Cricetulus griseus: one gene and its partners. The protein of the gene in region 4 interacts with the protein of the main gene of each other region in a pairwise test. Links are inferred from orthologs where the notes say so. Each region holds a gene or a part of one and is shown on either strand. Other genes may lie near its edges.

The links.
Region 1: the proteins of Txlna (region 4) and Hypk interact in binary tests that used the Homo sapiens proteins (3 or more experiments, as listed by UniProt). The two-hybrid records come from large-scale screens. The link is inferred for Cricetulus griseus from reciprocal best matches to the Homo sapiens genes TXLNA and HYPK.
Region 2: the proteins of Txlna (region 4) and Stmn2 interact in binary tests that used the Homo sapiens proteins (3 or more experiments, as listed by UniProt). The two-hybrid records come from large-scale screens. The link is inferred for Cricetulus griseus from reciprocal best matches to the Homo sapiens genes TXLNA and STMN2.
Region 3: the proteins of Txlna (region 4) and Ccdc146 interact in binary tests that used the Homo sapiens proteins (3 or more experiments, as listed by UniProt). The link is inferred for Cricetulus griseus from reciprocal best matches to the Homo sapiens genes TXLNA and CCDC146.
Region 5: the proteins of Txlna (region 4) and Btf3l4 interact in binary tests that used the Homo sapiens proteins (3 or more experiments, as listed by UniProt). The two-hybrid records come from large-scale screens. The link is inferred for Cricetulus griseus from reciprocal best matches to the Homo sapiens genes TXLNA and BTF3L4.
Region 6: the proteins of Txlna (region 4) and Krt20 interact in binary tests that used the Homo sapiens proteins (3 or more experiments, as listed by UniProt). The two-hybrid records come from large-scale screens. The link is inferred for Cricetulus griseus from reciprocal best matches to the Homo sapiens genes TXLNA and KRT20.
Region 7: the proteins of Txlna (region 4) and Tcl1a interact in binary tests that used the Homo sapiens proteins (3 or more experiments, as listed by UniProt). The two-hybrid records come from large-scale screens. The link is inferred for Cricetulus griseus from reciprocal best matches to the Homo sapiens genes TXLNA and TCL1A.

What each region holds. Positions count from the first base shown.
Region 1 is NC_048599.1:56,958,989-56,962,350, reverse strand, and holds Hypk (huntingtin-interacting protein K), read left to right. Parts: upstream 1-1,464; 5' UTR 1,465-1,486; coding exon 1,487-1,672; intron 1,673-2,175; coding exon 2,176-2,231; intron 2,232-2,511; coding exon 2,512-2,563; coding exon of another isoform or gene 2,564-2,571; intron 2,572-2,700; coding exon 2,701-2,796; 3' UTR 2,797-2,862; downstream 2,863-3,362. UniProt on the Homo sapiens protein: Component of several N-terminal acetyltransferase complexes. Inhibits the N-terminal acetylation activity of the N-terminal acetyltransferase NAA10-NAA15 complex (also called the NatA complex).
Region 2 is NC_048595.1:139,266,434-139,270,666, reverse strand, and holds the start of Stmn2 (stathmin-2), read left to right. Parts: upstream 1-1,433; 5' UTR 1,434-1,457; coding exon 1,458-1,539; intron 1,540-4,233. UniProt on the Homo sapiens protein: Regulator of microtubule stability. When phosphorylated by MAPK8, stabilizes microtubules and consequently controls neurite length in cortical neurons.
Region 3 is NW_023276806.1:173,067,771-173,071,703, reverse strand, and holds the start of Ccdc146 (coiled-coil domain-containing protein 146), read right to left. Parts: upstream 2,801-3,933; 5' UTR 2,648-2,800; intron 1-2,647. Other genes in the region: protein FAM185A, read left to right, coding at 3,133-3,487. UniProt on the Homo sapiens protein: Essential for sperm flagellum biogenesis and male fertility.
Region 4 is NC_048595.1:23,393,078-23,397,081, forward strand, and holds the start of Txlna (alpha-taxilin), read left to right. Parts: upstream 1-1,204; 5' UTR 1,205-1,322; exon of another isoform or gene 1,323-1,337; intron 1,338-1,871; 5' UTR 1,872-1,877; coding exon 1,878-2,043; intron 2,044-2,986; coding exon 2,987-3,325; intron 3,326-4,004. UniProt on the Homo sapiens protein: May be involved in intracellular vesicle traffic and potentially in calcium-dependent exocytosis in neuroendocrine cells.
Region 5 is NC_048595.1:40,982,015-40,985,066, reverse strand, and holds the end of Btf3l4 (transcription factor BTF3 homolog 4), read right to left. Parts: intron 2,535-3,052; coding exon 2,475-2,534; intron 936-2,474; coding exon 889-935; 3' UTR 501-888; downstream 1-500.
Region 6 is NC_048600.1:113,147,879-113,151,823, forward strand, and holds the start of Krt20 (keratin, type I cytoskeletal 20), read left to right. Parts: upstream 1-1,145; coding exon 1,146-1,556; intron 1,557-3,804; coding exon 3,805-3,887; intron 3,888-3,945. UniProt on the Homo sapiens protein: Plays a significant role in maintaining keratin filament organization in intestinal epithelia. When phosphorylated, plays a role in the secretion of mucin in the small intestine.
Region 7 is NC_048598.1:189,486,419-189,490,435, reverse strand, and holds the start of Tcl1a (T-cell leukemia/lymphoma protein 1A), read right to left. Parts: upstream 2,801-4,017; coding exon 2,681-2,800; intron 1-2,680. UniProt on the Homo sapiens protein: Enhances the phosphorylation and activation of AKT1, AKT2 and AKT3. Promotes nuclear translocation of AKT1. Enhances cell proliferation, stabilizes mitochondrial membrane potential and promotes cell survival.

The DNA of each region.
Region 1 (3,362 bases), on a different chromosome or scaffold from region 4:
GCACAACCTGCAGCAGGTGGAAAGTGGCAGTTCCTGCACATACTCAATACACAGCCCCTGAGCCACTGAGCACTGGGCATTCTGAGTTGCCAAATAGGTGGGCACACAGCACCGAGGGCATCTGGATCTGCAAAGTTTGGTTATGAGAAAAGGTAGGACAAGTCACAATGCATGGATAGGTCTCACTTGTAGATTGACACTTCTTTCCTGTTCTCAATCCAAATGTTACAGGTTTCTTTTCCTCACTTTGCAGCCCCTGCCAACTTACCCCTTATGCTTTGCCCCAGACCCCTTCTACCACTGTCCTAGATAGCAGGAGGCAGATTGCTGAGGTCCCCAAATGGAGAAGGATATAGAGCAGTAGGCTACTAGAAGACTCTGAGAGAGGGCCTCCTAGAGTGGTTGGGAGCTGGTCAAAGAAACAGGCCCACACACAGCAAGACACTGAGGATAGAGCAGACATAGGATGCAAAGGTGAAGCTTTGCAAGGGTGATGTATACTGTGTGGGGTTAATCGAAGGTAAAATCCCAAAATCCTCAATCCTACCATCTTGTGGTGAGCTACGTAGGATTGCCTTTTCTAAACACTAGCAAGATTTTCATTGTAAGACCTTAGTATAGGCTTGAACCACCTATTTTTCCCTAAGGCTATATGGATGGGAATGTGGGATGAGAGGTTTACTGACTACTGAGGCAAAGAACCGGGTTTGCCTCCCCAACTCTTTTCCAGCCAAGGGCATCTTCAAGTCTGCCCCCTCCAATGCCCTCTCACCTGATAAAAGGGGGTTTTCACTATGACATCGCCGATTCCACCGTGCTGCTGTGCAAGGCCCTGGCTGGTGGTCTGGGCTGTCACCGCTTTTGCTCCTATCATTTTTGGCCCAGAGGTTAGGCATAGATCCGTTACTGGAAGAGCTGATGAGGAACAGCAGCTTCTCAAGAATTTTGCCCATTGGGCAGTCGCTGTGCTGGGCTAGTCACTCAGTCTTAAAGTAGTAGAATGGGCATGTTAGAAAATGAATACAGATCATTAGGAAGTGGTAAATGCAAATACTTTTGTGAAGATTCCTTCACTGGGCTTCGTATTCCGGATCATTTGGACTGTCTTCTGAGATTAGGAGTAGTTGGCCTATCTGATCTGGGGATTAGTTTTTAAAATTGGTTTAGGATTTAGCCATCGGCCGCCTTGGTTGGTCAGAATTCCTTGGGGGGGGGTGTTGTGGGAGGGCGGGAAGGGGAAGGAGTGAAGGGATATGAAAGGATTGTTCTTCGGTGAAGAAGTGAGGCTGTGCATTTAGGTGGTGTGGGTAGTGAACAGATTAGTCGAAGGAGACTGCAGAAAACACAAGCCTGAGAGGAGGTCAAAAGCGAACCAACCGCCTTCCTAGCAGAAGCTTCTCAAGACAGGCACAAAGATGCGGTTCACAGCCTGCCCCGCCCCTATCTGGGCGGAAGCTGTTTGCCGGAAGTCGTGAAGCGGCAGCGTATGCGGCGGCGCGGTGAGATCGAAATGGCGACCGAGGGAGATGTGGAACTAGAGTTAGAGACCGAAACCAGCGGCCCAGAGCGGCCTCCCGAAAAGCCACGGAAGCATGACAGTGGTGCTGCTGACCTGGAGCGGGTCACTGACTATGCGGAGGAGAAGGAGATCCAGAGTTCGAATCTGGAGACGGTGAGGTTGACCGGGAGCTTGTATGAGAGGGCTTGAGAACGGGGTAGGGGTGATTTGAGACTGACCCGTTTGCTCCGGCAGATCGCGATAGTGGGAGTAGGCAGTAGGATGGGCATCAGCGACAACACTCACCCAGTCCGCGAGTTGCTTAAGAATGTGATGGAGATTGGGCTTAAATGGATCTCAGGTGCAGGGAATTAAGTGTGGTCTTTTGGTCCCGAGAACACTGGTCATTGTGAATACTTGAAGAATCACGTGGTTTTTATTTTATTTGGTTTTTCGAGACAGGGTTTCTCTGTGTAGCTTTGGAGCCTATCCTGGCCCTCGCTCTGGAGACCAGGTTGGTCTCGAACTTACAGATCCACCTGCCTCTGCCTCCCGAGTGCTGGGATTAAAGGCGTGCGCCACCAACGCCCGGCGTGGTTTTTATTTTTGGTTTTGTGTTTTAGATAGGAAAATTTGGGTCTCATGGTGGTAGGTAACTAGACTCGTGTTTCCTACAGGCTATGTCCGTCATTGGAGACAGACGGTCCAGGGAGCAAAAGGCAAAACAGGAGCGGTAAGTTTAAAGCACACTGTCAGCGTAAGGGGTCCTCATTCTCCAGAAAAAAAACAAGTTTTTAACCAATTCCTGTAGATCTAGGGTTTACAACTTTGTTGTAGTGACACTGTTTTTAGGGGAAGGAAAGCCTCCAGTGGGAGGGGTGGGCACATTTATTTAATATTTTCAGTCAACCTTATTCCACCTGTTTGCAGTGTGAAATTGGGATGTTACTTTTGGGAGTTTATGGCAGAGGTTGAGGATGAAGACAGATGCATATATACACATATATTCACAGGGAAAAGGAGCTGGCGAAGGTCACGATCAAGAAGGAAGATCTGGAGTTGATAGTGAGTAGTAATGCTTGGATGGATGCACAAGAGAAATTCTACTTAATTTGGGTTCCTAACAAGTGGAGTCAGGGATTAGTTGACACTTTTATGCCTGAGAGGAGGCATCGGTGACATGATTTACTCTTTCCTTGCAGATGACAGAGATGGAGATCTCTCGAGCAGCAGCAGAAAGGAGCTTGCGGGAACACATGGGCAACGTTGTGGAGGCTCTTATTGCCCTAACCAACTGATGATGTGCTTTTTCAGACATTCTGGACTGATTTACTGAAATAAAGTGTTTTATTATGCTGTTCTTTTTTTTTTTTTCAGTTTTATCTCAGATTAGATGCATTATATATTTTTGTTGTCATTTTCTATGTTGGACCTTCATGAAATTATGAACAGTCAATATAAAGAAGTACCTAACGTTTAAATACAGGCTCTATTATTATTATGCTTATTTTGTGTATGCGTCTGGGCATTTTCCTGACATTGTGCTTGATGTCAGATGACAACTGTACTTCCACCATGTGGGAATCGAACTCAAGTGCCCTTTTCCAAAAAGCTTTTCACCAGCCTTAAATAACATTCTAGGTGGTATGCTAGTCTCATTCATCTGACTAGCTCTTGGTAATATAGAGTACATTGGTATCCTCTGTAAAAGATCCAACTACATGTGCTTCTAGGATAGTTTGTGCATTTTATTTTTTTCAGATAGGTTCTTCCTGTGTAGCCCAGGGCGTTCTCAAACTCAGATGCCTTCACTTAATACTTGAGAGCTGCAATTTCAGTCACCTTTCCCAACTCTCTAGGCTAG
Region 2 (4,233 bases), about 120 Mb from region 4:
AAATTGACAGTGTTGATCTTTGTGTGTGGTTGGAGCTTACTCTCAGATACACATCCTTGTGGCCCCTGGACTTCATTCTAAAAGCAGACCTGGATGTCTCCTTGACAGCTTTGGTATAGATCATTCTACTGCCTTTTATCCAGGGCCCCCATCTTTGTCATCAGTCATACATGACTTTAGCCTCTGTGAGACTCAGTTTCCTTACTTACGAGATCAGTAGTTGAGAAGTGGACTATAGATTTAAAATCTCTTAGAAACTTCTTAGTTTAGCATTCCTGTCAGCCTCTTGACTATGGTATGTCATCTGCAAAAGTCAGGTAGGGGAACACACATAATGTGGCTTTATGCTAGGCTACATTCATACTTACTCTCATCGACATGTAGTCACAGTCCATAGTTAGACATGGGAAAACATCTGTTGGATCTGCCTCCTGCTCGTCAATAAATGATGCACCTGTCAATGATGTATAAATTCATCTTTTAGGAATTCCTTCTTCCCACAAGGTCTAGACACTCACTGTCCATTGGATAATTAAAAGTCCCCAGTGATGATTAAAAGAGCCCACCAACTCACAGGTGTTATATGTGAGGTTATATTGCGTGACCATGGACATCCATTTCCCTATCACAAGCTACCATACACTATACTCATCATTTTTCTGTCATTTTCTTTAATTAATTTCACTAATTAAATAACTACCAAAAGTGATGGTGTCCCACCCTCTCATTCTAATTCTGTTCGGAGACGCTTGTCCTGGTGCTAGCCATGAAATGCTCACCAGGTCTACGAGGGCAGGAGTAATAGAGGAGAAAGGGATGTTGGGTGGAGAAGAGGAGGAAGGAGGGAGACCAGCACAGGCTAATCTACTGCTTCTCTGTAAGGCTGGCACCCATACTGTGTTGCAGAGGGAGGGAGATCCTGATCAGATCTCAGTGTGTGGGAAGAAGGTGAGATAAGAAAATGCATTTGGGGATTAAGAGAAAACAGCAACAAAGTTCCCTGGAGCGTGTAGCTGCTTAACAACTCTCTAGATGAGTTTGTGACTATCCCCAAACGAATAGTGGTGATGCAGGATGAACCTCCGAGAATCCTGAAGAAGACTCACACATACGTTAATTAGCCTGTCTCTGCTAATTTCCTCTGTTTCCTTTTTCACTGTTTTTACCGTCTTCCTTCCTGCTGGATCTCAAGTCCTTTTGTTTTGTTTTGTTTTAAATCTAACTCGCTTTCATTTTTTAGCTAACTTAATATAATATGCACTTCACATCCTCTATAGGGATGAATATATACATCAGAGTTGTTTATATCTCTCATTCATTGGGAAAGCAAACCAAGCAGCCTGCCTTCTGCAGAAGGCTATAATTATTGTTCAAATTTAAAGAGGCATTAAAAGGAAATTCAGTGAAGGAAGCATTCTAATCTTGAATCTTCTTCACTTTCAGCCTACAAGGAAAAAATGAAGGAGCTGTCCATGCTGTCACTGATCTGCTCATGCTTCTACCCGGAGCCTCGCAACATCAACATCTACACTTATGATGGTGAGTAGCCTGCAGCAGAGACACCCCTAGCTGCATAATTGACATGCGTTTGAATATATGTGCTTCTCTCTCAGAGCTCCTAACAAATTAGATGAGCATTTTATAGATCTCAGTGTTAATTTGCTGTGTCCAGCCATTAGGTCTTATTGATTGCCTATTGCTCACAACAGTTTGAAGTCAGTGCTAATCAGAGCACATTAATGTCTCTTAAGAGGCATGGCTGGCTTGTTCCCAGCATCCTCATCAGCATCCTCATCAGCATCCTTATCAGTATCCTAAGCAGCAGCAGCAGCAGCAGCAGCAGCAGCAGCAGCAGCAACAACAACACACCATGATCTACAGGATGTCTTTTCAAATAATGAAATACACTAAACTACAATTACAGTAGACCTTAATTTGCAAAAGACTATTTTTTTTACATAGATCATTCAAGTAGTAGAAAACCTACCATCATCACTATTTCTCTTTGTACAGAACCCATGTTTTGTGAGTAAATGAAAACAAGCTAATAATGATAATTAAATTCATAAATAAAATTGACTTACGACTAAAGTCACAAGCAAAGAGGAACTAAGTAGAAAATAATGTAACACCACCTGTGATGGTTCAGACTTAAAATTCTAGCACTAAGGAGTCTGAAGGAAGAGGATTGCAAGTTCAAGGTTAATCAAGAGAACATAAGACCCTGTTTCAGAAAGCTAAATAACACTCTACAGTTGGCATGACCATTGGCATTATTTTCTGTTTGTGTGCTTGTTTACTTTATGGGGGTTTTTGTTGTTGTTGTTGTTTTGTTATTTGAGAAAGGGTCTCTCTGTGTAGTCCTGACTGTCCTGGAACTCACTGTACAGAACAGGCTGGCCTCAAACTGAGGAGATCGTCCTGCCTTTGCCTCTCAAGTGTCAGGATTAAAGGTTTGCACCACTGTGTAGGGGTGCCAATTGACTTTATTGAAGTGCAACCTTTGAAGTTTGCTTTATGCCAATTCATGATGATTAGGCTAGTTTGGTTTCATTTCTGGATCTTCCAATGTATGTGCATGGCCCCAGGCAAGAGGATACTTAGCTCTTTGAACATCATTTACTCTCTCCTTCTAAGAATTTGTGGAAAAGGTATTTCATGTCATAGCCTGCTACCTAAGAGGAACCCAGGAATTATTCTGTCCTTATCAACACTATTAGTTAAAACCTCACCTAATTCAGCCAATAATGCAATCAAAATAGGGCAGTTATCTGTGCCAGATCTACCTGTGGCATTTTGATGTATGAGAGGCTCACAGTTATTCTGCCTAACCACATATGTAAAGATCATTAAAAAGAAGAACTCAGAGCCATTCTTCTTCCGGTGCTGTTCTGATGACACAAGCATTAGAAGGGCTAATTAACTTTCCAGAAGCAGCTGTCTCTGTATGCATGTAAGCAATCCATCTCCAACCAAAACTTCCACTAGAACGCATGCAGCATGTCCAGTTCCTGTAAGTGCACTGAGTTAATAAATCAACTACATAGATCCGTACTATAAGTCAGATGTGCTGTTAGTAGGAATCCAACTGTGTTTAAGAGACTATAAAATCTTTGCTGTGCTGTCACTGAGATCAGATGATGAATTCCGCATGGTCCTTGCCTTCCTTGGACTTGGGGCTCTGTAGAAGAGTCTTGAAACACACAAGGAGAGCACCAAATTGTTGGGACCTGAGAGCGAGGGTGGTTTCTACCGCTTTGGGACTGAGAGGCAGGAAAGCAAAGCTATGTGAGCTGTTTGAAGCCGAAGAGACAATTCCATATCACTCACACACCACTTCAAAAATACTCAGTAGAGAACTTCATATTTCCAGAGTGTTTACTTGGCCTTGTATTTCTGCCTTGACAGTAATTGTATGAACAATGTTGAGATCACATGAAATGCTCTTCCTGGAGCATTCATGAAAGTATAACACCATGCATCACAGTAAGAGATTTGGCCATTGAATGCGCGAGAATCCCCTGGAGGTCTTGGAACCACTCTGGAGGGTAACAAGAGACAGCTACACTTGAAATATTAGTGACACATAACAGTTGCTTAATCCCAAGAAGTTTCTGAATGCAAACAAAGATCAGTGGACTGAGACCAGAGGGTTGAGGTGTGGGGCTCAAACCAAACTACTAGGTTAAAATTGACCAATGAAGTTTTAAAGAAATCAGTAGATTTTCCTACATTGTGAGCTATGAAGTCATAAAAGTACTCAAAGACACTGCCTATTACCCATTTTATGTTATAGATTATTTTAGATTATAGATGATAGTGCAGGATTAATATATGATAATAAGCCTATTAATCGTATGTAATATGATTAAACCTTGAAAGTCTGGTAATCTACTTGTTGTTAGTATATATACCAATAATTAACATGGCTAGCAATTTTCTGTATTCTTTTGTTTAGTTAGCAATGAAAAATTATATGTTTACAGTAACCTTTTTTAAAAGATTTATTTATGTATATGAGAGCTCTGTCTTCCTGTGAGTCTGTACAACAGAAAAGGCATCAGATCCCAGTATAGGTGATAAAACGAGTGTTATTCCCTCATTAAAAAAAAAACAAGAACAGATGTAACTGGAGATCATTAGTAAAATAAATCAAATTCAGAAAGTCACATATCTCATTTTCCTTCATATGTCTTCATGTAGATATATATATGATATATATATATGATATAA
Region 3 (3,933 bases), on a different chromosome or scaffold from region 4:
GTCACTATTTACATGTGATATATACATGTTAGGTGTTGGTAACTTTAATATCGATCAGAGTCTCAGTTCTCAACCTCATGAAACCAGAAATGTAATTTTCAATAAGTTTTAGTTCCTTTATTTGAAAGTAATGAAATAATGATAGTATTACATATGCCATTAGGGCTCAGTTGGCAATTCTATTAATTTAATTTTTCTCAGAATGGGAAAATTACTATAGAAACAGGATAATTTATTATGGATGCATTTTATTTACTATATGTAGCAATCATACAAGTAATCTGAATTCATCGTCAACTTGCTTGTGCCATTTTCACTTTTTCAAAAATATGCCTATGGGTTTTCATAAAAAGATAATTTGAAAACTAATCTGATAATTATGTCCACATAAAACACAAAGCTAAGGACATTATTCATAGAGCAGGCTCTTGCTTAGCATAAAATGTATTTTATATCTTCCAGAGGCAGGCTAGAACCACAGAAATGATGGAGACATGGGAAGGAAAGGAACCTTCATCTCAGAGTGCTACCAGTGCCTCTCGTCAGCTGAAATCATGAATTCTAACGAAGTTACAACATTATTTATGAAGGGTGCCAATAGAAAGGTAACATTTCTTTTATATAGAGATATCTCCAAATTAGAATGTTGAAGTAGCAATGGATCACGCCCAAGACCTAAACACAAGAGGCCTTTCTTCTTTCTCAGCTATAAACCAGCAATTTTCTAGGAATCTCACCAGAAACCCTATCTACAGTAAATACCTCTTACAGTTAATACCCTCTTCTACCATTCTTATGACACGTGGTTTTATTTTTGGACAGTAATCCAGTCTAGGACACCTCTAGAACCATCCAATAATATAACTTATTGAGAAAAAAAGAGAGAAAAGGTTTTAAAATCCTTTCTAAGAAATCTTTCAAGGCGTAACTTGAGAACCACCAAAAGAGTGACTCTCCAGAGCTCCTGCTAAGACACTTGAGGGTATAATGTCTTTGAAAAGCCTACACCTGTGTTCTTGAGCATGTCTTATTTTCCCTGAGTGATCATCTCTGTCAACCCCTATGCTTCATAAATCTATGTTTAAAATCTCTCTTTTTTAAATCAACTCCAACTCTTTCATACTAGCTAATTCCAACATTAATTTTTGCAGTAAAGCCAAGGAAGGGCTTCGCCTCAGTGGAAGTCCCCAAGGGTAAGAGGACTTCTTGGGCTGCTGGAAGCAGGTCTGGGCTGCTGCACCGAGGCTACCATAATCTTCACTAAAGGAATAATACAGACACTGCTGAAGACTTTAGATCAGTCTACCAATCTCTCTGTTACTTCAGGTCCCAAGATTTGGGGTCCTCATTTTGGCTGAGGGCTTCTGTCTTTAAAGGCACCATTTTATTTTATTTTTTGAGACAGAGTTCCCTTTATGTAGTGCAGGGTGACCTCAGATTTGAGATCCTCAGCTTCAGCTTTCCAAATTCTGGAGGATTAAAAGTGAACACCGATACATAGGACTGGCATTCTATCAAACTTATCTATCTATACTTAAGGAATTTAGGGAATTGTTTGTAGAGAGTGGGAGAGGCTAGGCAAGCAAGGGTGAAATAATGGCTGCACCCCACACTTTCCTTATTTTTACTGCCTACTTAATAATAAAGAAGGAAAGAAGCCTTATAGAGTTATTTAGTACATTCTATCTTTACCTCAAAAATGAAGGACCAGGTCCCTGTGACACAGATAAACCAATAGGGCCAGGAAAAAAGACTTTCCCCTCACAAGTCTTATGGGAAAAAAAAACTTTTAGTTTTTTACCACTAACCCCGAGGATCATTTGTAGTGAAAGAGATCTATAAAACAGCTGACCTGAACAAGGGAGAGCTCTTGGTCCCCAGACTGATAGCTGGGAAACCAGCATGGGACTGATCCAGACCCCCTGAATGAGGGTGTCAGTGAGGAGACCTTGGAAATCTATGGGGCCCCTTGTAATGGATCAGTATTTAGCCCTAGCATAGGAATGGACTTTGGGAGCCCATTCCACATGGAGGGATACTCCCTGAGCCTAGACACAAGGGGGTGGGCGTAGGCCCTATCCCAAAGGCTACCACAGACTCTGAAGACGCCCCCCATGGAAGGCCTCACCCTCCTTGGGGAGCAGAAAGGGTTTAGGATAGGTAGGGTGTTAGTTGGGGGGACAGGAGAGGATGGGAGAGAGAGGGAACTGAAATTGACATGTAAACTAATCTTTCTAATTAAAATTAAAAAAATTAAAAAAGAAAAAAATCTAAACGAGACCAAATGCCTCAAAATTTCCCAGCAATTTAGAAACAATGCTATTCCTAAAACACCACTTTACTCGTTTTGTAGACTGTGCACTACTTTGTCAACTGTAGTTTCAATGGATCCTTGTAAAAACCCTCCCACACAAGGCAAGGGAGATACTGTTGCCGTCATTCTACAAGAAAATAGTAAAACCTAAAGGCACCGAATGAGTGGCTTAAGGTTGCTTACAGTTAGGACAGAGCCAGGAGCCCAGCTCTCTTTTCTATCCAGTACTTTCTAGGCAAGAGGAAGTTCCCTTACAGGGCAGAGGAGGAGGGGGCCCAGCCTACAGGGGGCAGCTCTGCGTCTACTTCCCGTCTGTGAACACGCCGTTCTTACCCTTTCTCTTGGTTCTGGTCCTTATTCAGACTCTTATTTTTCTGCGCGGGTTTTAGTCCCTGGGAATCTCACTCCAAACTCCACACTCTCCAAACGAGTCGCGTCCTTGGTATCCAAGGTAGCCGCGCCGCTTGTGCAGCCTGGCCCTTCCGCTCTTTCCATTGGTCCGTGGGTCTCTTGGGCCAATGAGATTGGAGCAACGGCTAGGCTTTTCCACCAATCAGCTCGTGTCACTCTATCTCTCCGGCGCACTGTCTCCTGGGATATGTAGTTCCAAGGCCCCTGGAGCACTTGGATATCCGCTACCTTTAGAACTACATATCCCGGCGGCCTCCGACCAAGGGCGGCAATAGAGGAAGAGCAGGGTCAGGGTTTTAACCAGTGGTACTTTGAAGTTGTCACTTGTCACCGGGTTTGCTTTACAGCCTTCGGGCCTCTATCTCGGTGGCGAGGAGGCCTTGTTGGTCCCGCGCTGCGGAGCGGGCATGTGGGGCCGCCTCTTGCCGGGCGCCCTCCGCGGGCGGGCGAGCGTCCTCTTCCGGGGCTCGCACGGGGCGCGGCAGGGCTCGGCGCCCGGAGACCCGGCGCTGATGCAGTGGACGCTGCGGGTGAGCCCGTTCTGGCGGCTGAGGACGCGGCTCCCCTGCCACCTGCTCGTCAGGGCCCTGGATCCCCTGGCGCACCCGGACGGCGAGCGCGTGCGGGTGGCGGTGCGCGGTGCAGAGCGCGGGGCGCGCGGCCTGCAGGTGGAGTACGACGCCGCTCGGCGGGAGGTGGCCGTCCTGTCGGACGACATCGACCCCCGGGCCTTGGTGGAGGTGGACGCGCCCCTCAGGTTTGGCAAGTGCAGTGAAAACTGGTTAGGATTCCTGCTTTCCAACTTCATGGAACAAATAATAAGTTAACTATATAGATTTGGAGACCTACGGAGTAGAGGCATGGAGACAGTAACCAGAAGCAGGCTTCTGGTTAGAAGTAACGATGAGATTGGGATTGACAGCAGGGGTGGCATCAATTTTCACAGGTGCTGTTTTAAGTTTTGTTTAGCTCTCCATTGACACCCACCTGTGATGGTTTGAAAGAAAATGGCCCCCAAAGGGAGTGGCACTAATGGGAGGAGTGGCCTTGTTGGAAGAAGTGTGTCACTGTGGAGGGTGGGCTTTGAGGTCTCCTATGCTCAAGCGACTCCCAGTAAGACAGACTACTTGTTGCCTGCATAAGATGTAGAACTCTCAGCTCCCTCCCCAGCACCATCTGTTTGCAGCTGAAATGTCCCTCCATGATGA
Region 4 (4,004 bases):
AAGTTGCCGGAAGCCAAACTCCCTCTGCTACAATCCCTTCCTGAGAGAGCTACTGCCAAGCTGGTGATGACAGAGGTGTCCAGTACACTGCCTCAGAGAAAGCCTGTGACGGCGATTATTTCTTCTGGGAAGAAAGTGGTTAAGATGGGTGCTGGTGTCAGGCTTCTGGCTTTGAATCTGCTATTACCACTCAATATTGATGCAGCCTTAGATTATATAACCTTTAGCTGGGCATGGTCGCCTTTGTCTTTAGTTCAAGACCAGTTTGATCCTCATAGGGAGCTCCAGGTCAGCCAAGGCTACACATAAGGAAACATTGTCTCCAACAGACAGCAAGCAATTAAAAAAGCCATCTCGCCTTTTCCATACTGTCCTATATTTCCTAGATCACAAAGTATCCTGTACTTTCTCCGAGTAATTATGAGGGCCAAGCTATTAGATACAAGAAGAGAAGACAGGGGCTAGAGAGATAGCTCAGAGGTTAAGAGCTCTTCCAAAGGTGCTGAGTTCAATTCCCAGCACCCACATGGTGGCTCACAACCATCTGCTATGAGATCTGGTGCCCTCTTCTCATGTGTAGATATACATGGAAGCAGAATGTTGTATACATAATAAATAAATAAAATCTTAAAAAAAAAAAAAGAATAAGAGAAGACAGTGACGCCGGGCTTTGGTGGCGCACGTCTTTAATCCCAGCACTTGGGAGGCAGAGGCAGGAGAGTTCGAAGCCAGCCTGGTCTCCAGGATGTGCCAGGATAGGCTCCAAAGCTACACAGAGAAACCCTGTCTCCAAAAACAAAACAAAAACAAAACCCCTCTGTTGGAATGGGGGGGGGGATAGAATGCCAGGCACATGACAAATTACTGGTTTAGGAGTGGAACAAAGGTCTCCTAATTCCCAGCTCAGCCTTCTATCCCTCTTCGAGTCCTCAGAGGTCCTAGAAACAGTCATACACGTCCACAGGGATCAATGGAGAAGCGTATGAAACAAACAGCCAAGCGCCAATCACAGCTTCTGCACTCGAAAGGATACTGACGGGAATCTCTAGACTGTACTGCAGAATTTCAGACCTGCAGCGGGTAGAGACCCTAAAAAGGGAGGCATCTCGGGAATTGTGCCCCGCCGCAATGCATGAAGGGACTCGTAGTTCGTTCCCGCTCACGACTCCAAAGCCACCTTGGCCTCGTCTTTCCCAGCAAGCTCCGCGCCAGCGTTAGCTCTTCATTGGCTGCGGCAGGAGCGGGCGGTCCTGCTGGCAGCGGTTACCCGGGTTTCCGGTGCCCGGCCAGAGCGGGGGACGCCATCGGACGTCCGTGGTGAGGTACGTCTGTTGGCGGTAGGTGGGACGAGCTCTTCTGAGGGTCTGTGGCCCAGCTTGCGTTGGCTGCAGAGGAATAACTAATTCCGTGCGGGGGTCTGTGGCGATGTCGCCGCCTTGCGCATGCGTCCGTGGGGCTAGAGGGCGCGCGGGGTGTGGGTGGCTTCCGCGCGGGCTGGCGGGCGGGCGGGCGCGCGCGCCCGGGGGTCCCACGTGGGGCCGGGCCGGGGGCCGGTGGGGGCTGGAGCGTCCCGCCACGTCATCGTGCGGCGGGGAGCCAATCCCGCGCTCGCGTTCCGAGAGGGAGCGGAGTGGTGCTGCTGGGAAGTGGCTTTCGGGAGAAAGGAGGCCTCTTCTTCACTCTCCTCAGGGCCAGCTCCTCCGACACCCTCCCTGCAGGGACCCTCGAGTCTCCGCCAAGGCCGGCCAGTTTGTTTGAAGCTTGGAGCGCCTGGCGTTGGGATTTCTGATCTAGGTTGTGAAATTTTTTGAAGTCTTGAAAATAGCAACTGTGTCGTCTTCAAAGGATCTACCCGTTTTCTGCCTTTGCAGATCACAATGAAGAACCAAGACAAAAAGAATGGGCCTGCCAAACACTCCAACCCGAAGAGCAGCCCCGGGCAACGGGAAGCGGCACCAGAGGGAGCCCAGGGACGGCCCAGACAGACAGCTCCTGCGGCGGAGGCTGAAGGTTCCACAAACCAGGCTCCTGGGAAGACCGAGGGTGTGTGCCTGCTCTGCTTTTCCAGTGGGCAGAGGGAGGAGTTTCTGGGACTGGCCTCGGTGCTGAGGCCAGTGTTTACCCAGGAAGGAGGAACTATGGAATGAAACAATACCCATTCTGTGTGGGTCTCGTGTTTCCCAGGCAGGTGATGAAGCTTCCCTCCCTTAGCCCTGGAATGGAACCTTGGGAGCATGCTCTGACTGGTTTAAATTAAATGACAACTGAGGCACCCCACAAACAAAGTCATGTTCCCAGAAAACACTTGCCAGTGTGTGGGGGGGGGGTAATTGTCCTTCATACTTGAGACATTTCTGGAACTATAAAAATAACCAAAAATGCGTTTTGAGTAGGAAAAAAAGGAATTAGAGGTGGAGTCTCTACTACATGCCACCCAACCCTGGTGTGGTGCTTTATCTACATAGTTGTCTTTTTTGTTTGGTTGTTTGGTTTTGTGTTTTTGAGACAGGGTTTCTCTGTGTAGCCCTGGCTGCCCTGGAACTCTGTAGACCAGGCTGGACTTGAACTCACAGAGATCCACCTGCCTCTGCTTCCCAAGTGCTGGGATCAAAGGCTAGCACTATTACTTCCCAGCCATAATTGTCTTTTATGGTCATAAGAAGTATGTTTGGGTGATAATAATTGTATCATTTTATAACAAAGTAAACTTAAGGTTTGAAAAAATTAAACTGAGGCTCGGCGTAGTGGCCCTCTCTTTTAGTCCTAGCTCTTGGGAGGCAGAGGCAGGTAGCTCTCTGACTTTGAGGGCAGCCTGGTCTACATAGTTCCGGGACAGTCAGGGCTCTGTAGAGAGATCGTGTCTCAACCAAATAAAACAACATTTATCCCAAACTAGTGTATTTGTCTAGGGTTAAAGAAAAAGAAAGTTCAAGCCAGGGATGTAACCATCTTATTTTCATTCTGTGTCCTAATCTTGTTGCTGTAGGGGCTCAAGCTAAAGCAGCCAAGTCTGGGCCCCTGTGTGATGTGTCTGAGGAGCTGAGCCGGCAGCTGGAAGACATTCTGAGTACATACTGTGTAGACAACAATCAGGGAGGCCCAGGCGAGGAGGGAGCACAGGGTGAGCCTACTGAGCCGGAAGATGCAGAGAAGTCCCGAACCTATGCAGCAAGGAATGGGGAGCCTGAACCAGGGATTCCAGTCATCAATGGCGAGAAGGAAACCTCCAAGGGGGAGCCAGGCTCAGAAGAGGTCCGAGCAAGTGATGAGGTTGGAGACCGAGACCACCGAAGGCCACAAGAAAAGAAGAAAGCCAAGGGTCTGGGTGAGAGGGCAGCTACTGGTGAGGGGAGGGAGTTAAGACCTGTCATTTCATGAGCTAGCCTGCTCTGTCAGAACTCAAAGGAATCTGCTTCTCAAAACAGAACATCCCCCAGTTTAGTCAAAGCCATGACTGTGGAGTAACAGCATTGAGCTGTTCAGATTGCTCACCTGGGCAAGGCCTCTTGTCCTTGGAAGCAAGTGAAGGCAACCTGCTCTTTTCCTGTGGACATGTTCATGCTCCACTCCTGGGTCTTAGTTTCCCTATTTAGAAAGCAACAAAATTGGGCTACACCAAGGTAAAGATCTCAAATGTCAACATTAACCAGGTAAACCATGAACCTCTTGAGAATGAAGAGAGGGTCTACTTTATCCAAAAAATTAACTTCTACCTGTTTAGTTCCCTGCCTTCCCCCCCTCCACCCCCCCCAGGGTTTCTCTGTGTAGCTTTGGAGCCTATCCTGGCACTCGCTCGGGAGACCAAGCTGGCCTCGAACTCACAGAGATCCACCTGCTTCTGCCTCCCGAGTGCTGGGATTAAAGGCGTGCGCCACCAATGCCCGGCTGAGTTCCTTGCTTTCTTTTCTTTTTTCTTTATTTTTAAATTTATTTACTTATTACATATACAGTATTCTGTCTGCATATTTGCCTGCATATCAGAAGAGGGCACCAGATCTCATTTA
Region 5 (3,052 bases), about 18 Mb from region 4:
AGTTATTTAGCAAGCACATGCTAGCTATTCCAGTTTGAAATCTACCAAACTGCAAATGTGAAGGGAAATAAAATATTGAAGATGGAGCTGTTCAAGGTGAAGAACAAAAAGAGGGTTAGGCACTCTCTCAGCTCTGTATGGAGAACTTCTGTCTCAAGCTAGGCAGGAGATAAGAGTATTATCAAAGGCTGACCAGTCCATTTCAAGACCAAAATAGGAGGGTGGGGACAGCAGGAAGAAAGCTAATAAAAGGAGTATTTCTGGGTCTGATTAAGAAGTGAGTCTAAGGCAGCCACACCAAAGGTACCTGACTTACGGCTCTGGCAGCAACCCGGGGGCAAAATATTTTAAGATATTTTCAATCCAGAGAAGTGTGTAAAAAATGTTAAAGTTAATTGAGCAAATTAAAACCAAAATTCCAACAGTAGGAATCTCTTCAGATCTGAAATCAAAGAAACTTACTTTTCATCAATTTTGTGCAGTATTAGGAAAAAAAAAGGTAACAAATGTAAAGATTTGTTTTATTTCTACTGGGGAAAAGGGAAGAGTAGATAAAACTGTTACCAATTGGCTGTCCACTGTGTACACACATACCCACATACATACATACATATACATACACACCAAAAGTTTCCCCCCAAAAAACAAAAAACCACCCTCAAACTGTACCAATACTTCATATTTTGACCAAAAGAATAGATCCTGGGAAGAAGTGCAAAATGCAAAATCAAATGACCAAGAAATGCTGAACAAACAGCATTATTAATATACAAAATATTTATATTACTGAACTAGTAACAGGTGATGTTCTCTGTGTCTGTAAAACTTTGGAACAACAGAGCTGATTGTTAAATCTAGTCCATGCCAGCTTCCAAACCCCAGAGGATTTTAGTTAGCTTCATTTTTCGATGCTTCATCAAAATTTTCTACAAGATCTGACAAAGAAAGGGGAAAAAAATAAATAAAAATGCAAATGAATCAAAATAGTTGCAACCAGCATTAGCCAAAAAACAGAAAAGGCAGAAATGAACTTATGACATTTCAGTAATAATGACTTTTATAAAACAGTAATCTTATGGAAATGGCCTTTAAAAATGTATGTAAAAACACAAAAGTGAATAACATTTTTATGTCAGTTTAATGTTAACAATTTTTTTAATTATTTTATTATTTTATGTGTATACATGTTTTGCCTGAATGTATGTCTGTGTACCATGTGCATACAGTACCCGAGGAGACCAAAAGAGGGTGATGGATCCCCTAGAACTTGGGTAAAAGAAGGCTGTGAGCCACCATGTGAGTGCTGGAAACTGAACCCAGGTCCCCAGGAAGAGAGGCCAGTACTTTTAATTGCTGAGCCATTTCTCTAGCCTTCCAACAAAAAATTTCAACAATAAAAATGTATACTGATAATAGGAGTGGTTTCAATTTAATACATGCAGGAAACAGAGCTTTGTGGAATATTTTCTGATTCTAAGTTCTGAATGACGAAATTTTTGTATTTTTATTCATCATATCCTATCACTGGGATCTCAGTCTGTACTCCATGGTCTTTATGAACTCTGCCTAAAGAATTTAGACAAAACACAAAGAAATAGCATATAAGACAGGTAAATTAATTTATAAAGAAGTAGAGCACACTCAAGGAGTACGTGTGGACAATGCTTAAGGGACCATTGACCCAGACTACATTTTAGGTAGGCTGTATACTATTTCTAAAGTCTCCAGAACAAACAGCTTTTTAAAATTAAATTTTATTTTGTGGATTTTCAAGACATGGTTTCTTTATGTAACAGCTCTGGCTGTCCTAGAACTGACTATGTAGACCAGGCTGGTCTTGAACTTATAGAGGTCCACCTACTTCTGCCTCCCAAGTACTGGGATTAAAGGCATTTGTCACCACCAACAGGCTACAAACAGCTTTTCTTTAGGGACTGTATTCTGTTCAGGTAAGTGACAGGCCTGTTTGGTTTGACACTGATGTAAGGCAATAGTGTATCTTTGTTCTTTATCAGATAGCCTTCTACTATACAATAATCTTTTATGAAGGTTTAGCATTCCTGGAACCAGGCTTAGATAGTATTATATAATGGCAGTTCAGGATGTCATGTCTCCTTCCATGGCCAGAGATAGAACTTAGGGAACATTTTTCTGACCTTAAGTTCCAGTCTTTGGTTTTACAGGCTGATAATTATGAGAGAGGGGTCCATCTCCAGTGTCTTCCAAGCCAACTAATATCTAAGTAAAACCCATCACTATCCATATCACTGCAAATCAAATGAAATTCAGTCAAAAAAATCTGAAATTCATCTATGCAAAAAGGGAAAGGAGATAAATTATTTTCCTTAGTTTAAAAAATGACACTGTATTATTTCATATGTGTGTACATGCACGTGCATGTGTAGGTCAGAGGACAACTTGTGCAAGTCTTACTGGCCTGAGACAAATCTTAACACTAACAAAATGTCATTTACCTGGAACATCATCATCTTCTTCATCAATGTCCTCTGGTTTTGGTGCTTTACTATCCAATACTATAAAGAGTTTATGTGAATATTATTAGTCACTGAGAACAAAGAACACTTCTAATACTTATCTCTGTCTAAATCTCCTATGGCTATTAAATACAGTCAGTTTAAAATTCACTTTTAATTTTTTGTGTAAGTAACATAAAAAACTAATATTTTAAATTAAATATATATTAACTATAACTAATTCCACTGTGCAGTAAAAGTAAAAGTTACATGCAAAATGAAGAATTTTACAAGCTTGGGCAAAGAATTATTCTTCACATAAAGTATTCGAGATTTCTTTTTTTTCCACTTCATTTGACCTAAGAAACTAGCTATGTAGTATGACCAAATGATCACTAAAATAAGAGGCTTTTTGATGGTTAGAGACAACAAGACATGCCTGAAATCCAGAATGTATGATTACCATGTTTATAATGGTAATCATAGTGGTAATCGACAATATTGTATGTAAATATTCTATAATACACACTTCATTAACTGAAAAAGCAAACTATAAGTTTTATGAAGCACACAGGTGG
Region 6 (3,945 bases), on a different chromosome or scaffold from region 4:
GGCTCCTGCCCTAGTCTAGGAGTTCCTGGAAGCTGAGAGTTGCTGGAAGTCAAGAAGAGAGTTGGATTTTCTTTGGAGGTGTGGCCACCTCCCACACCCCAGTACACCCATAAGTACACAGGCAGCACTAATTAGATTCATGAGTTATTTTTAAAAAGAGGGGAGAGCATAAGTTGGATGGGAAATGTGTTGGGGGCTTCTGGGGCAGTTGGAGAGCGAAGTCAGGGTAGATGTTATCAAGATACATTATATACATATATGAAATTTCCTAAAACTACTATTGAAAGTATTTTCAACTCCAAAATCAACACCTATACTCATTTACTTATTCACCACATTCAGTTCTCAAACTCCGTGTGTGTGTGTGTGTGTGTGTGTGTGTGTGTGTGTGTGTGTGTGTGTGTGTGTGTGTACTCACGTGCCCATGTAGCAGGCTGGTGTCAAACTTGCAGTAATCCTCCTGTCTCTGCTTCCCAATTGCTAGAATTACAGGTGTGCACCAGGACACCCAGCCTCATACAAGATATTTCAACAGACTAAAAATATAAGTTCTAAACAAGGATAAACTCAAAAGCAAATTTAAAAAAAAAAAGAGCATAAAACAGAGGTTCTGAAAAGCAGCTCGTCATTGGAACAAGCCTTTGTCTGTTCTCACCAGTATGACTTACCATTGTGTTCCCACAGCTGTCTTGTTCAAAGCCTGAATTATTCATATAGATTGTAAATATTCTTTATTTGTACACGGGGATGAAAAAAAAACCTGCCAGGGCAGGTGCAAGATCTGAAAGAACACCCCTTCCTCATTCTTTTTGATACTTGTGTTCATTAAAAAGAAATCACCACTCCCTCCTCCCCCCGCCCAGCGCGCGCGCGCACACACACACACACACACACACACACACACACACACACACTAGAAAAGCCTTAATAAAGTGTCTCTAGTGGTCATTTCTGGAATAGGATGAAACATATTGCTGTACAAAAGAGGGGGAGGTAGCAAAGTGGACTGTGTCATTCCTGAGGTGACAAGGCAGCAGAGGAGGAGTGTCTCTCCTGAACTCTATAAAAGGTCAGCTCTCCAGCACCAGAGACAGACAGGCTGTGCTCCAACTCCAGGCTACAGGTGCTGCCTCCCAGGATCCCAGATGGATTTCAGTCGTCGAAGTTTTCACAGAAGTCTGAGTTCCTCCTCACAAGGCCCAGCACTTAGCATGAGTAGCTCCATGTACAGGAAGGGGAGCGCCCAGCGCCTGGTGGCTGCACCCAGTGTCTATGGTGGGGCTGGAGGCCACGGCACTCGCATCTCTGTCTCCAAATCTGTAGTGAGCTATGCGAGTGATCTCTCCAGTGGAGGGGACCTGTTTGCTGGCAATGAGAAACTAACAATGCAGAACCTCAATGACCGCTTGGCAAGCTACCTAGAAAAAGTGCGGTCCCTGGAGCAATCCAACTCCAGACTTGAAGTCCAGATCAAGCAGTGGTATGAAACCAATGCGCCTAGCACCATCCGGGACTACAGTCCCTACTATGCACAAATCAAAGAGCTGCAAAATCAGGTAAGTCATGGACCTGTGTTTTCGACATTACTGTTTAGTAGTATACTAGATTAAGGGGGGGGGGGTTGTGAGTGTATGCTAGGCGAATTCAAACACGTGAAGCAAATTAGGTTGAACTTTATAGCTGAAAAATCTATTTTATCATGTGGCATTAGTGTAAACAGGATGCGTTTAACCCACCTAATTACATATAAAATGTGATGATCTTATCATCCAAAATTACAGCCTGTGTCTTTGTCGTGGCTTCCAATGTCAGGTCTTCATGGAGAATAATCTTATTTTTAAAAGAACTCCAAGGGTTTCTATGTGAGTTTCCCACTAGTCTTCACCAACTTTGAAGACTCAGATCAATTTAAAGAGATTTTTCTCTTTTCATCCATATAAATGTTACAATTCAAGTGTCATCCTGCTATGGGTATAAATATTACAAGGGTTCAGAGTGCAGACAGACTACAGATATTATAGTGTCTGTATTGACTGACAGATGGGTAGATGATGGGTGGTAGGGTGGATGGAAGGAACAGCTTTTGAATACAAGATCTCCCTGTATATCCCAGGCTAGTCTGCACCTCACCGCTCTCCTGCCTCTACCTCCTCAGCACTGGGATTAGCCACCATGCTCAGTTTCGCTAAGTGGATTTTTTAATGTCCTGTTTAAGTTTCTGCTGACCATCATCAAGCATTTTATAAAGCACTTCAGCAATAATAAAATGTTCTATTGCCCCCAATTCAAATTTATTACAATCATATCACAATCTGTTCCTGTGTCATCCAAGATAGGTGGGGTTCTCTCTCTCTCTCTCTCTCTCTCTCTTTATAAACCCAGTGGACTAGAAGTGGGAGACTTTGCTCCGGGCTGACAAGGTCAAGCACAGCACACCATTTGCTTTGCTTCAGCATTCTTATCTAATCAAGGAAAGTGTCCCTTTCTGGTTTGCGTATATTTAAAATGATTACCCCTTTAGAGCAAAGGCCATTGACTTGGCCCGAAGGCCTCTTTGCTGGAGCTGTATTATAGGTACCAGTGCAGCCTGATTCAGATTCACAGAAACAATCAGCTCAGGAAGCTAAGGTGGTTACATCACCCTCAACAGGGAGTTCCTTCAGGCTTTCGCTGAAACACATTCAAAATGATTGTTCTCCAGCACTGCTCTCAAGGTTGATGCTTCTGAATTGACTCGGGGATTACCCATGATACCTCAGAGCAGCCATTAGTACCTTCTAGCTGGAAGCCTCTCAAGGGACCTCTCTCCAGGAATAGCTACTGAAAGAGATGTGTCATTTTCATGTCTTCTAGAAGTAGACTTCCCGTCTACATGCATCTTAAAGAATACAGTGCTTGTCTTTCAAGTACAAGAACCTGAGTTCGATCCCCAGAACCCAGGTTAAAAAAAAAATTGGAGAATGATGGTGTGTTCTTGTAATCCCAAGATCCCTGGGGTTTGCTGGTCAGCCAGCCTGACCTACTTGATGAGTTCCAGGACAATGAGAGACCCTGCCCCTCCCCCAAAAAATGTGGACAGTACCTAAGGAATAGCATGGAAGATTGTCCTCTGACCTACACATGTATATACCTGTACATATGAACACAGAGAGAGAGAGAGAGAGAGAGAGAGAGAGAGAGAGAGAGAGAAAACCAGGGTGTGTCCATCCTTCCATCCTAATGCCTAATGCCTACCAGATGGCAAGTTGTCATTCACTCACTGTTTCATAGACACTAGCTGGGTACTGAGCATCACACATAGAAGAATGTGTGGGTAAATAAAGTGTAAGGTGGAGACAGGCCTGGACCAAAGCAACTGTCACTCAGGTAAACGCAGGAAGGCTGTACAGAGCCACAGAAGCAGGGACACGGCCCTGCTAGAACTGGGGGATATCATTGAAGGCCCCCTTGAAGCCACGGTGTCTGAGCTGAGAGCTGAAGGCATAGGAGCTCCCCAGGTGAGGAGGGCTAACGGCAATATTCCAGGCATGAACATCACCACAGACAAGACACTCAATAAGGTTCAGGGATATGGATGAAGTCCAACTTCTGTTTTGTACAAAAACAAGAAAGTGGGTCAGACCAAGAGTCCTGTTTTTAACTATTACCTCAATACCTGTGTCACTATTGCACCTAATTACTCTCACACTTTTGAAACGGACATCGCTTTTGATGTAATTACAGTTGTCTCTGAGGACAAATGAGATCTTTTTTATCTCCAGCCCTGATGAAAATGTCATTCTTTCTCTCTCTTATGCTTTCCAGATTAAGGATGCTCAAATTCAAAATGCTCGGTGCGTCCTGCAAATTGACAATGCTAAACTGGCTGCAGAGGACTTCAGATTGAAGTAGGTTCCCTACATCACAGTGACTATAGGTGTGTGTGTGTGCAAGTGTGCGTGCGTG
Region 7 (4,017 bases), on a different chromosome or scaffold from region 4:
ACACTTACTGTCTTTACACACCAGGGTGGGGATCCAAAAGTCAGACCAGCCTGATGGAGTCCTGGTGCCTTCTCACGGGCAGAGTGAGCCCAGGGTCCATAGAAGTCCACAAAGCACACACAGAGCATCTCTGCCTCCCTCTTCCCCCACTGTTCCTGTTGCCACTTCCTTCTAGGCACAATGCCTTGGGGGGGGTTCTCACTGTCTACAGTAAGCCTCCCCAAAATCTACAGAGAAGTAACTCCCTTTGAGGCAGTCCTTTGTTCAAATGTATGTCTATAAAGAACAAATATTGCACAAACCGATGTTAGTGTGGAGACCAGACATCCAGTTTTATTAATTGAAATGAGGTCACATGTGTGGTTTTGAAGCGTGGTCTCACCCTATCACCCTGGCTGGCCTGGGACTTGCTATATAGACCAGACTGGCCTCACACTTACAGAGATCTATCTACCTGCCTCTGCCTCTGCCTCCCAGGTGCTAAAATTAATGCACCACCACTTGCAGGAGTCAGCTCTCTTCCATCATGGGGGTCCTGCCACACCTCAGGCCATCAGTTTGGGTAACAAGCACCTTTTTACCTTTTCAGCCATCTCACCAGCTCCTAACAATGAGTTTTATCCACTAATTCAAGACGAAAAACCCAAATCAACCCCCCCCCCAAAAAAAAATCACCACCTAAACACACAAACAAAACCCTGCACAATCAAACTCTATAAGATACTCCCAGTGAAGATCTAATGGGGCCAAGTTGCACAGGCCTGCAATGGACTACTCAGTAAGTTCAGGCAAGAGGATCACAAGTTCAAGGCTACAAAGGCAACTCAAAGTCAACCTAAGTAACTAAGACCAAGTTTCAAAGTTAAAGTTAAAAAAAAAAAAGTTAAAGTTAAGAGCATTGTACAAATGGCTGGGCTATAGCCCTGCAGTACAGCTCTAATCTAAGTTACACAGGGTCCCAGGTTTCCTCCTCAGCACTACTCAGGTTGGAGGATGGAGTGGAGGAGTGGAGGGGTGGAGTGGGGGGCAGGGTGGGGCAGGAAAAACAAATGCAATTTGACACTCCAAACAAAATGACTCAAAAATATGACATGCAAATACAAACCAACTTCACAACTCTCTACAGAACAACTCACTGTCTCCCTTCCCACCTCCAGTTTCTTTCTCCCACAGGACTCCCCACCAGCCTTGTTATCCTTTTGTTGGCCACCCAAGTCACATTGCACCACCTTCCCAATAATAGGGCTTCGACCGCATTCACTGTAACCCATTGGTGCAGACCTGTGCTTGGTGAAAATAGTTTTGTGAAATGTTCTGCCTATGAGATAAATCAGAACTGGTAACTCGGATCACAGTGCCAGTTGTGTAAGCATGCTAGCATTCAGGACTGTTAGCCAACATTCTAAAGTCTAACCACTGTTATAGATAGCTTTCCCTTGTCTCTGTCAGTCCTGAGAAGTAAATTCTGTACTGTAGTTTGTCACAAGACTCCTGTTCAGACAACATCTACCACAGCTCTGAAATGCTCTCTGGTTCATGGTTTTGGGGGTGTAAAACATAACTTGCAGTGGTGGCGAACACCTTTAATCCCATAACTTGGGAGGCTGAGGCAGGCAGATCTCTGTGAGTTTGAGATCAGCCTGGTCTACAAAGCAGAGTTCTAGGACAGCCAGGACTGTCACACTGAGAAACCCTGTCTCGAAAAAAAAAGAAAGAAAGAAAGAAAGAAAGAAAGAAAGAAAGAAAGAAAGAAAGAGAGAAAAGAAATTTGTACAACTTCAAAATAAAAACATCCACCTACGCCAGGCATTAGTGGCACACGTCTTTAGTCCCAGCACTCAGGAAGCAGAGGCAGGTGGATCTACAGAGTTCAAGGCCAGCCTGGTCTACAGAGCAAGTTCCAGGACAGCCTCCAAAATAATACAGAGAAACCCAGTCTCAAAAAAAAAAAAAAAAAAAAAAAAAAAAAAAAAAAAAATCCACCTACACTGTCTTCACACATCGACTTTAACCTTAAAAAAAGACTAGATATATGTAAATTTAATATTGTAAAACAACAGCAAGAATTTAAGAGCCCAGAATTGCAGAATCATGGTTGCACCATCTAGTAGCGGCACCCCAATGTGAGGTTGACAAGCCGCTGGCTTTCCCAAGTGAAGACAGTCCCTAGTCCCCAACTACTCTCTAGTTTATCAAACGATGTCTCCACAGTTTTAATTCTGCTTTTATAGCCTTCATTGATTTTACAAGAGGAGGGCATGTCAATAATTTCTGCCTGAAAGTACTTCTAGAAGAGATTTCTTTTGAAAACACCAACATTCATTAAGACCCATCCGGAGGCTTCCAGAAGCGAAACAAAGTTAAATCTTATTACTAACATGGATACTACTAGATGCCTTAAAGATATTCCAGTTTTATGGTTTAGGAAAGCCCTGTTTCACCCCAAATGATAGTCATACCCCAGGCTAGGTATGAGAGGGCCTTATCCCTTGTCCTCAGGGTGTTCCCACCCTCCTCTCCAGGTCTACCAGGCCCAACCCAAAGACTTTCATCTGCAGCGTCCCTAGCTGTTTCTGCCACAAGGGACCCTCTGTTCCCTGGTCTCCAGCTACCAGGACTCCTAGGCCCAGACAGGGCACACCCCTGCTGCCCCATCTGCTGGCCCCAAGGCGGTTGGTACCTTGAGGACTATGGGCAGCCAGCTTCGTTTATTCTCATCCAAGTACACGTGCCTCTCCCAGATCCACAGGCGTTGGGGGTCTTGGGGTGTCTCTGGTCTGTACACCGGCTGTTCAGCCATGGCATCCGGCTGGAGCAAGAAGCAAAGATTTGCAAAGGCAATATCTGATAAAAACTACTCTCTGGTGGTGGGCAACGAGAACCTAGACTATTTATTACCACCAGGTGTGCGCCTGCGCCCCCTGGAGCGAGGCGAGGTGGGGCGGGGCAGGGCGGAGCCAGCGGAGTGGGTGGGGCGAACCACAAGTTTGGTAGGCAAGGCAACCAGGGGGCTTCTGGGTCTCTGGCTTGCAGGCCTGATCTTCAGGGCCCCAGTTAGTCCTGGACTCCTCCGGGTACACCGGGCAGCAGCAAAGGTACACCCAGGTCCTGTCTTAGGAGACACTGCCCTCCGCTTTCTCTATGGTGGAATCCCAAGGTCCAAGGCAGTTACTGTGTATGTGGCTGCACAGGCCACACCCCATAGCAGGCCACCCAGGGCAAGGTCAGTCTTCACTTCTGGCATCAGAGACCTGAGAGAGCATGGCTCACTTCTGGACCCTCCGGGCCTCTCTCTGTCACCTTCAGCCTGTCCTTTGGGGTGTCAGAGGCAATTTCCTTTGCAAAGTTCAGTTCGTGTGCCTTCGCTCTTTCCCACGTGACTTTTTCCATGGCTCTGATGAGGCTGTGGTCTTCTAATAGGTCTTGCAAAACAGACTTTTGAAAACAGGGGTTTCTGTCTTTGTGCTCCGACTTAGTGGACACATCATTCCAGACCCATGCTTAAAAAGAAACCCTTCCTGCACACCAAGAGTAATGGATTTGGAAAGTCTCTGGGTTGCTCAATCAAAACTGTCTCATTGTAAATAAATGAGGAAAAACGACTTCCCTTTAGTTTACGGTAACATGTGCCCATTAAGGCAATTAAGAAATTAATGAAAAACATGTAAAAACAAGTTCCAGGCCCGTTGCTCAAACAACCCTTTAGCTAGCAGCTCTGAGCCTCACCTTCTAGCCCTTTCCTCTCGGAGGATGCACAGAGGAAACCATTGGTGGTCTTTGGAAGGTCAATGAGTGATCAAGTGTGGACATCGGATCAAATCCCCCAGGTATGCCAAGAAGGCCTGCGGTCAGCCAGGTATATTCCGATTAAACAGGAAAAGAAACCAAGAAAAGGCTCAAGTCCCCCAGACCAGTGCAACTCTTAATGGTGTTAGCATTTAGTATTCAGACTGCTGGCTTTCAGGCTGATTTCCCTGTGGATGGCTCTTTATCCCCAGATCCAAATAGCTGCATAGA